Linked DNA regions of Drosophila melanogaster. Each later gene encodes a partner of the first gene's protein in a complex. Each region holds a gene or a part of one and is shown in the gene's direction. Other genes may lie near its edges. The genes, in order: snf and U2A.

Region 1 (4,125 bases):
TCCTATGCAGATTTATGCTGGAAAATTTGTTACCATAGCTTTGACGCATCTCGGCGCGCTTGCGACGCGCCTCCTCCTCCGTCCTGGCCGCCTGTTGGTCCCTGGCCATCAGTTGCTGCGCCTTTGACATCGTCTAACTCCAAACAGGAAAACGAAATACGGCAAATCTTTAGTTAACACTAGCAAAAAGGAAAAAAAAAAAAAAAACAAAACAAAACACGGACCGAAACGAGCGCTGAGAATTTCGAGAGTTTCAAATGTGCGTCGATTGACTTGGTTACCAATTTGTTTTCAGAAATATAAATACGGTAGCGTGCACTGGAACAGCTTTTGCACAACCTACCAGGATCCTATGTACTACTAATTAACTACTCAATTTTCGCTCGCTTTCAATCACATCTTTAATAGATCATCCTCAATCATCTTAAGCATAGTCTTAACAACTCATGTTGGGTGGCGAAAAGGTTTTGCCAAGCGAGAAAAATTCATATCAATTAGAATGGAGTGGAGCTTTTGGAGTGGATGCAATGCATCCTTAAGCCTTTCAATAGAACTTATTGTGCATGTCTGCGGTGAACAACGTAACGCGATCACAAACATCAATGTTATAATGGAAAGTGTGTGTTAACTGAGTGAGTGTGTGTGGGTGTGTGTGTGTGTGTGTGTGTGTGTGTGTGTGCTAGAACTGCAGCCGCTTCTTCTGGGCCAATCCATTGCCCCTCACCGTAGTCTCGACCAGCTTGCGCTTGAGCGCAGGCTTCGTGTCGCCGGTCTGCGGATTGGCGCCCTCCTTGGCGGCCAGAATGGCCGACGGCATTGGCAACTTGGGACCCACTGTGGGCGCCGGTTTGTTAGCGAAATACGGCATGCTCAGTGCCTCGCGGCAGGACACACGCCGCAGCGGATTCATGGCAAACAGGCGTTGCATCAGATGGATCAAGTCATTGCCCGCGGCGGTGAATATATTGTCCAATGGTGTGCCCGGAAAGTTGCGAAACTGCAGATAGTCGTGCAGTTTGCTCAAATGCGGCCATTCAGCTTCCGTGGGTGTTCCCAGTGTGGAAAAGATCCGTGTCAGCTGATCCAGATCCGAATCGCCCGGCATGAACGGCACTCGCAGCATAAGTTCAGCCAAAATGCAGCCAACTGCCCACATATCCACACCGGTGCCATATTGTCGGGCGCCAAAGAGCAATTCGGGCGAACGATACCAGCGTGTGACCACGTGGTGCGTGTAAATGCGATTGGGCGAACCGAAGGACTTGGCCAAACCGAAATCGCCAATCTTTAGGATGCCATCGCTGTTGACCAGCAAATTGTTGGGCTTCAAATCGCGGTGCAGTATCCAATTGAGATGCAAATACTCCAGACCCTTTAGCGTCATGATGGCATAGGCCTTGATGTTCGCCTGCGTTAATATAATCTTGTTATCCTTGATGATCACCTCCAGATCCGTGTCCATGAAGTCGAAAACCAGCGAGACATTCGAAAGTTGACCGAAAACGTCCACCAAGCCAATGATATTCTCGTGCTGCAGCTCCTGCAATATCTTGATCTCACGCAGCGCTGTCCTGTTGATACCGTCGCGTGCATCCTCGCGCGATCCCTTCTTGATCTTCTTTACGGCCACAATTTGGTTGGTCACCGTGTCGCGCGCCTTGTAAACTGTGGCAAACTGCGGTGCGAAAGTGGAATGCGCACATTGTTATGGATCGTTGGGTTGATATTCCGTGGCGGCGGACTCACCTGACCCTCGCCGAGGAAGGATAGCTTGGCATAGCGTTCCGTTTTGTCATTCGCATTGGGCAGCATCGTTTAGGAGCCTCATAAATAGCACGAAAATGACTGAAATGCTGCGAGGCCGAATCAAAACAATTCAAGTTCGCAAACGCTATCGATGGCCGATAACCGATGGACGCCGGTAGGGCCTATCGCGCGCCCCAAAAAAAATACTAGATTTCAGAGTCTATTAAGAATAATGCAAAAACAGCGTATTGCTCCTTTATTGCTAATCAATTTTATAGTTTAACAAGTTATGCAAATAATACACAACTGTCAATTTAAATTAGCTGCATGTGATTGTCATTTAATTTTAGCTACTTTTAGCTATGTGCAGTTTAACAACACTGCCAAACACCGGTGCGATAACATATCGATAGACCGCCCCAAACGATGCCTTCTGCTATCGATGACAGACTCGTTTTTTTTCTCAACAATACAGAGCAAATTGGTTGATTTTTGTCGAATTAAGTGAATAAAACGCACGACAGGATGGAGATGCTACCCAACCAAACGATTTACATCAACAATCTGAACGAGAAGATCAAGAAGGAGGAGCTAAAGAAGTCGCTCTATGCGATTTTCTCGCAATTCGGCCAAATTCTGGACATTGTGGCCCTAAAAACGCTCAAAATGCGCGGCCAGGCATTTGTGATCTTCAAGGAGATCGGCAGCGCTTCGAATGCCCTGCGCACCATGCAGGGCTTCCCGTTCTACGACAAGCCCATGCAGATCGCCTACTCCAAATCCGATTCGGATATTGTGGCCAAGATAAAGGGTACCTTCAAGGAGCGCCCCAAGAAGGTCAAGCCACCAAAACCAGCGCCGGGTACCGATGAGAAGAAGTGAGTATCCCAATTGCTAATTGGGCCCGTTTAGATTCAATCATTTGTTGCCAACGGCCATGGTGCTACCATTTGTTGCTCCCTGTTGCCTCGCAAAAACCCAATGTTTTCATTCGCACGCCTGAAATCCTTTTTGCTACTAAAAACATTTCCGCATTAACCAATGTTAGTTTTTGGCCAGAATTATGGACTTGAAAACCAAGAGGTGTCTCAAGTCTTCATAATATCTTTAGTTATCAACTCCTTTTTGCTCTTTAATCGATGCGATTTGAGTTTCAGTTGCAAAATGTTTCATTTTTGTTCATTTTTGCGCGACAAAAATCCGTAGTAATCCTAGTTTTCTGGGATGTGCGAATGACTAGGCAAAAAAAAAATGCAACTTCATGTGACACTAAGACAACTCCTTTTTTTTTCGTTTCGCACAGGGACAAGAAGAAGAAGCCGAGCAGCGCCGAGAACTCGAACCCGAACGCACAGACCGAGCAGCCGCCGAACCAGATCCTCTTCCTCACCAATCTGCCCGAGGAGACCAACGAGATGATGCTGTCCATGCTGTTCAATCAGTTCCCCGGCTTCAAGGAGGTGCGTCTTGTGCCGAATCGTCACGACATCGCCTTTGTGGAGTTCACCACCGAGTTGCAGAGCAATGCCGCCAAGGAGGCGCTGCAGGGCTTCAAGATTACGCCGACGCACGCCATGAAGATAACGTTCGCCAAGAAGTGAACGCAACTCCAGTCGCCGGGCGTTCCAGCAACTCCAATAATAATTTAAACTATAGAATAAATCGATATAAACAAACAAACTACGAGTATTCCATATGCCCATATCCCTCCCATATCCCATTTCGCCCAAAGATCCTTAAAGGCAAAAGTATAGAATAGAATAGTTGATTGTTTATTGTGTAGATCTATTTGTTTGTCTGCAAACTTATAACTAACAGCTAGTAATGCGTATTATTTATGTCGGTCGATTGTACATATTTCCATTTAGTGTATAGTATATGGTGTATAGTAGTATATATATATATATATATAGCGTCCCTTTGCTCAGTCTGCATGGTGTATCAAGCTCGCTGCAAAATCAACATCAGTTTGGTGTGCGGGAGCGTGTGTTGAGTAAGTCCCACAAGTCCTCGGATTCCCAAAATGTTTGCTATATGTAGAATCGTTCAGCGACGTAGTCCTCCTCCGCCGTAACAACATCATCAGGCTTACAATTGTAATGCAATCATCATACTTTAGGCACCACAAATGATGAGTATTATGAGTGTGCATAATAAATCTGGGATAAGTGTGTGTATTATATATATATATATATATATATACATCGATAAGTGTGTGTGTGTGTGTGTGTGTGTGTCTATGTATATATATATATATATATCTATTGCTTTCTTCCGTTACGTCTGTTGAATGATGAGCTGCAGGAGAAGGAGCAGGGAATCGGTTATGTGACCACAATGCTTGCACTCCGGCAATCGTACTTACATACATATGTTGTC
Region 2 (3,022 bases), on another chromosome or scaffold:
GCATTTGCTGCATAGTGTGTATTCCTTAAGTTGTGTCGTATTAGCCAGTATGCCGCATTTTGCCTGTAATTTCATCTAGTTTGTGTTTGCCTGTTTAGCTCCTATTTAATCGAGCCGTCTAATAGAATCACTCTTCCACTTACCCACAGGAGACATTAGTTGAAGAACTGCAGCAGAGCATGGCGACCAGACGCGGTTTTAGAGACTCGACCTACACCAAGGAGGATGTCGTTGATTTATAAGTGTTCTAGTTATATGCTCAACATTCCCTCACGTCGATCCCTAGTCCTTCACCCAACCTGCCACAGTTTCACGTGATAGATAGTAGGGTTGATGATAACGTTAAGTGATGATACTGATGATAAGGAGGAAATGAGATGAAATGGTGAAGACAGAAGGATAGAGGGAAACAAGGTTGCAACTTATCGTACTGAACCATTAATTTATGTGCAATGCCGCGTGTGTGTTGTTTTCATTTGGCAATTTAGAATGAACGTGATTTATTTATTGATACAAACCCTGATACTTTTATCCAAATTAACCTTTGCATATTTTTAAAAATGTTTTGTGTACTATATTTTATATTTTTATGTATTTAAATCAGTTAAGTGCCAATTATATACAGAATTAATCTACAAATATTTTTAGCGTGTGCTCTACATCAATTTCAATGAAACTAACGAAAATAACGCAATGAATATGATACACTATACATATTATGTAATTCGATTGAGTGTATAAGAACTATTTTAATGGGCTAAACCTAAAAAAATCTAAATGAAATATAATATTTTTTATAACTGCTTCCAAATACAAACTTTATGGTTTATTATTTCCCCTTTTCTGTTTACCTCCCCTATACACATACTTATAGTATTTATAGTATTTAAGCGACAATCCGTTTTCAAATTTTGAGGCGCGTTATGCCGCCAGAAACAAATGCATTTATTTAGAAACAAGGCGGAGACCGACGATCTTATTGATTATTTTCTAAATAGTTAACAATTTAAGAAACTAGGCGAAAACGAAACCGATATAAAATTACTAAGCCATTTAACAACAGAAAACCGAAATCTATAGAAAACTAATTACCCTTATCGCAAAACGATCAACTTCAATTTTGATGATCTAGTAGTTTGCACCAACGACACAGAATATATTCAGAGCAGCGTTTAAACTTTAAACCAGTCCACCACCGACCACACACTTCGAGTTTTGAGTGTATCCCGTTCTCATTCAAAACCCCGAAACGAAATAAGAGAAACTTAACGTGTTCATTAAAGTTAAGCAATTAAAACATCATTGTAATCTATTGAAATTCAAATTAAACGGAAACGATATTGGACAGTAGTGTTATTTATTTATTTTTGAATTTCGAAAGATCAGGGGCCCTATTGGCAGCATTGGAGTAATCCCAGTATTATTACGATATTTAGAATGGTAGAAGCCCAGCAGACCGATAAAATACCAAAACATTGTTACCACTAGATCTATCGATAGCGATGCCGGCATTGCTTGCTATCGGAAAACTGTTCATCACCAACTCGCGTCGGCAGCGAATTGTTTTTCTGCATTTCGGAAAATAAGCTTCAAAAGAGTATAAAAAGACCGAGTAAAGACCAAACGTAAGCATACTATAACTGCCAAGATGGTGAAACTAACGCCGGAGCTGATAAACCAGTCGATGCAATACATAAACCCATGCCGGGAGCGCGAGCTGGATTTGCGCGGCTATAAGATTCCACAAATCGAGAACCTGGGCGCAACTCTGGACCAGTTTGATACCATCGACTTGTCCGACAACGATCTGCGCAAGCTGGACAACCTGCCGCATCTGCCGCGCCTCAAGTGCCTGCTGCTGAACAACAACCGCATCCTGCGCATCAGCGAAGGGCTGGAGGAGGCGGTGCCCAACCTGGGCTCCATCATTCTCACCGGCAACAACCTGCAGGAGCTGAGCGACTTAGAGCCCCTGGTCGGATTCACCAAGCTGGAAACCATCTGCCTGCTTATCAACCCGGTATCCACGAAGCCCAACTACCGCGAGTACATGGCCTACAAGTTCCCGCAGCTGCGGCTACTCGACTTCAGGAAGATCAAGCAGAAGGACCGCCAGGCGGCGCAGGAGTTCTTCCGCACCAAGCAGGGCAAGGACGTGCTAAAGGAGATTAGCCGGAAGTCCAAGATGAGCGCCGCAGCCGCCATAGCTGCAGAGGCGGGGAATGGCAAGGGAAGGGGATCGGAAGGCGGACGACTGGCCAATCCGCAGGACATGCAGCGCATCCGCGAGGCCATCAAGCGGGCCAGCTCTCTGGCAGAGGTGGAGCGTCTATCGCAGATCCTGCAAAGCGGCCAGCTGCCGGATAAGTTTCAGCACGAGATGGAGGCGGTGGCACAGAACGGGGCGGGGCACAACGGTTCGGGGGCCGTGGCCATGGAATACTAGGACTAGAATTATCCGCTCATCTGTCAGCTACCTTATAACCGTAGACCAATATTTTTTAATAAAACACCAAAAGTTGATTCATCGCATTCTGCATTTCGGACACTCAAAAACATATAGAATCTTCTGTTTTCAACTAAGACCGCTGGCCGAAGGATCTTTCACGGAAAGATTCGGGACAATCGGTCACAACAGAAATGCATTTACATGACCGTAATTGGCTAAAAGTTTAACAATCTACAGCGAGTACAAAGGGGACACAAAACGAGAGGAGCTGCTGGCTTATGTGGAGAGTGGAGTGGTGTGGTGTGGACCTGGCTCCTGGAATCCGGTATTGCTGGGGAGTGTTATTAAGATCCTTTCGCCGCCATTATGGCGTCGTAGTGCAGGCCAGTGTAGAAGATGATCCACGTGACCAGGAATCCGGCAAACGACGTCATGAACCCCTCCTTGATCAGCTCCCATACCCCTCCGTAGGCGTCCTCGTCCACGTTCTGAAAGTTTATGGCGTACAGGTAGACGATCCCGCAGCTGATGCCGGCGAATCTGGGGGCGCATTGGATTGATTAAGTGAAGTGA

Evidence for each region.
Region 2: the proteins of snf (region 1) and U2A are in contact, whole or in part, in a crystal structure (PDB 6F4J), measured with the Drosophila melanogaster proteins. Residues at the interface, in NP_511045.1 of Drosophila melanogaster: Ile18 (codon at 2,323), Glu22 (codon at 2,335), Lys24 (codon at 2,341), Lys25 (codon at 2,344), Ser26 (codon at 2,347), Tyr28 (codon at 2,353), Ala29 (codon at 2,356), Ile30 (codon at 2,359), Ser32 (codon at 2,365), Gln33 (codon at 2,368), Phe34 (codon at 2,371), Gly35 (codon at 2,374), Gln36 (codon at 2,377), Ile37 (codon at 2,380), Leu38 (codon at 2,383), Asp39 (codon at 2,386), Ile40 (codon at 2,389), Phe72 (codon at 2,485), Pro73 (codon at 2,488), Phe74 (codon at 2,491), Tyr75 (codon at 2,494), Asp76 (codon at 2,497); in NP_610315.1 of Drosophila melanogaster: Tyr15 (codon at 1,691), Asn17 (codon at 1,697), Pro18 (codon at 1,700), Arg20 (codon at 1,706), Glu23 (codon at 1,715), Asp25 (codon at 1,721), Arg27 (codon at 1,727), Ser50 (codon at 1,796), Leu70 (codon at 1,856), Asn72 (codon at 1,862), Asn73 (codon at 1,865), Ser92 (codon at 1,922), Ile94 (codon at 1,928), Thr96 (codon at 1,934), Leu121 (codon at 2,009), Ile122 (codon at 2,012), Leu144 (codon at 2,078), Asp146 (codon at 2,084), Phe147 (codon at 2,087), Arg148 (codon at 2,090), Lys149 (codon at 2,093), Lys151 (codon at 2,099).

The regions. Positions count from the first base shown.
Region 1 is NC_004354.4:5,307,083-5,311,207, forward strand, and holds snf (sans fille), read left to right. Parts: upstream 1-2,159; 5' UTR 2,160-2,271; coding exon 2,272-2,624; intron 2,625-3,049; coding exon 3,050-3,347; 3' UTR 3,348-3,419; downstream 3,420-4,125. Other genes in the region: CG17764 (uncharacterized protein), read right to left, coding at 1-130; Cdk7 (Cyclin-dependent kinase 7), read right to left, coding at 680-1,675, 1,747-1,812. UniProt on the Drosophila melanogaster protein: Binds stem loop II of U1 snRNA. It is the first snRNP to interact with pre-mRNA. This interaction is required for the subsequent binding of U2 snRNP and the U4/U6/U5 tri-snRNP. Plays a role in regulating sex-lethal splicing.
Region 2 is NT_033778.4:7,674,862-7,677,883, reverse strand, and holds U2A (U2A), read left to right. Parts: upstream 1-1,521; 5' UTR 1,522-1,648; coding exon 1,649-2,446; 3' UTR 2,447-2,522; downstream 2,523-3,022. Other genes in the region: LRR (Leucine-rich repeat), read left to right, coding at 150-242; CG12107 (uncharacterized protein), read right to left, coding at 2,794-2,989. UniProt on the Drosophila melanogaster protein: Involved in pre-mRNA splicing as component of the spliceosome. Associated with sn-RNP U2, where it contributes to the binding of stem loop IV of U2 snRNA.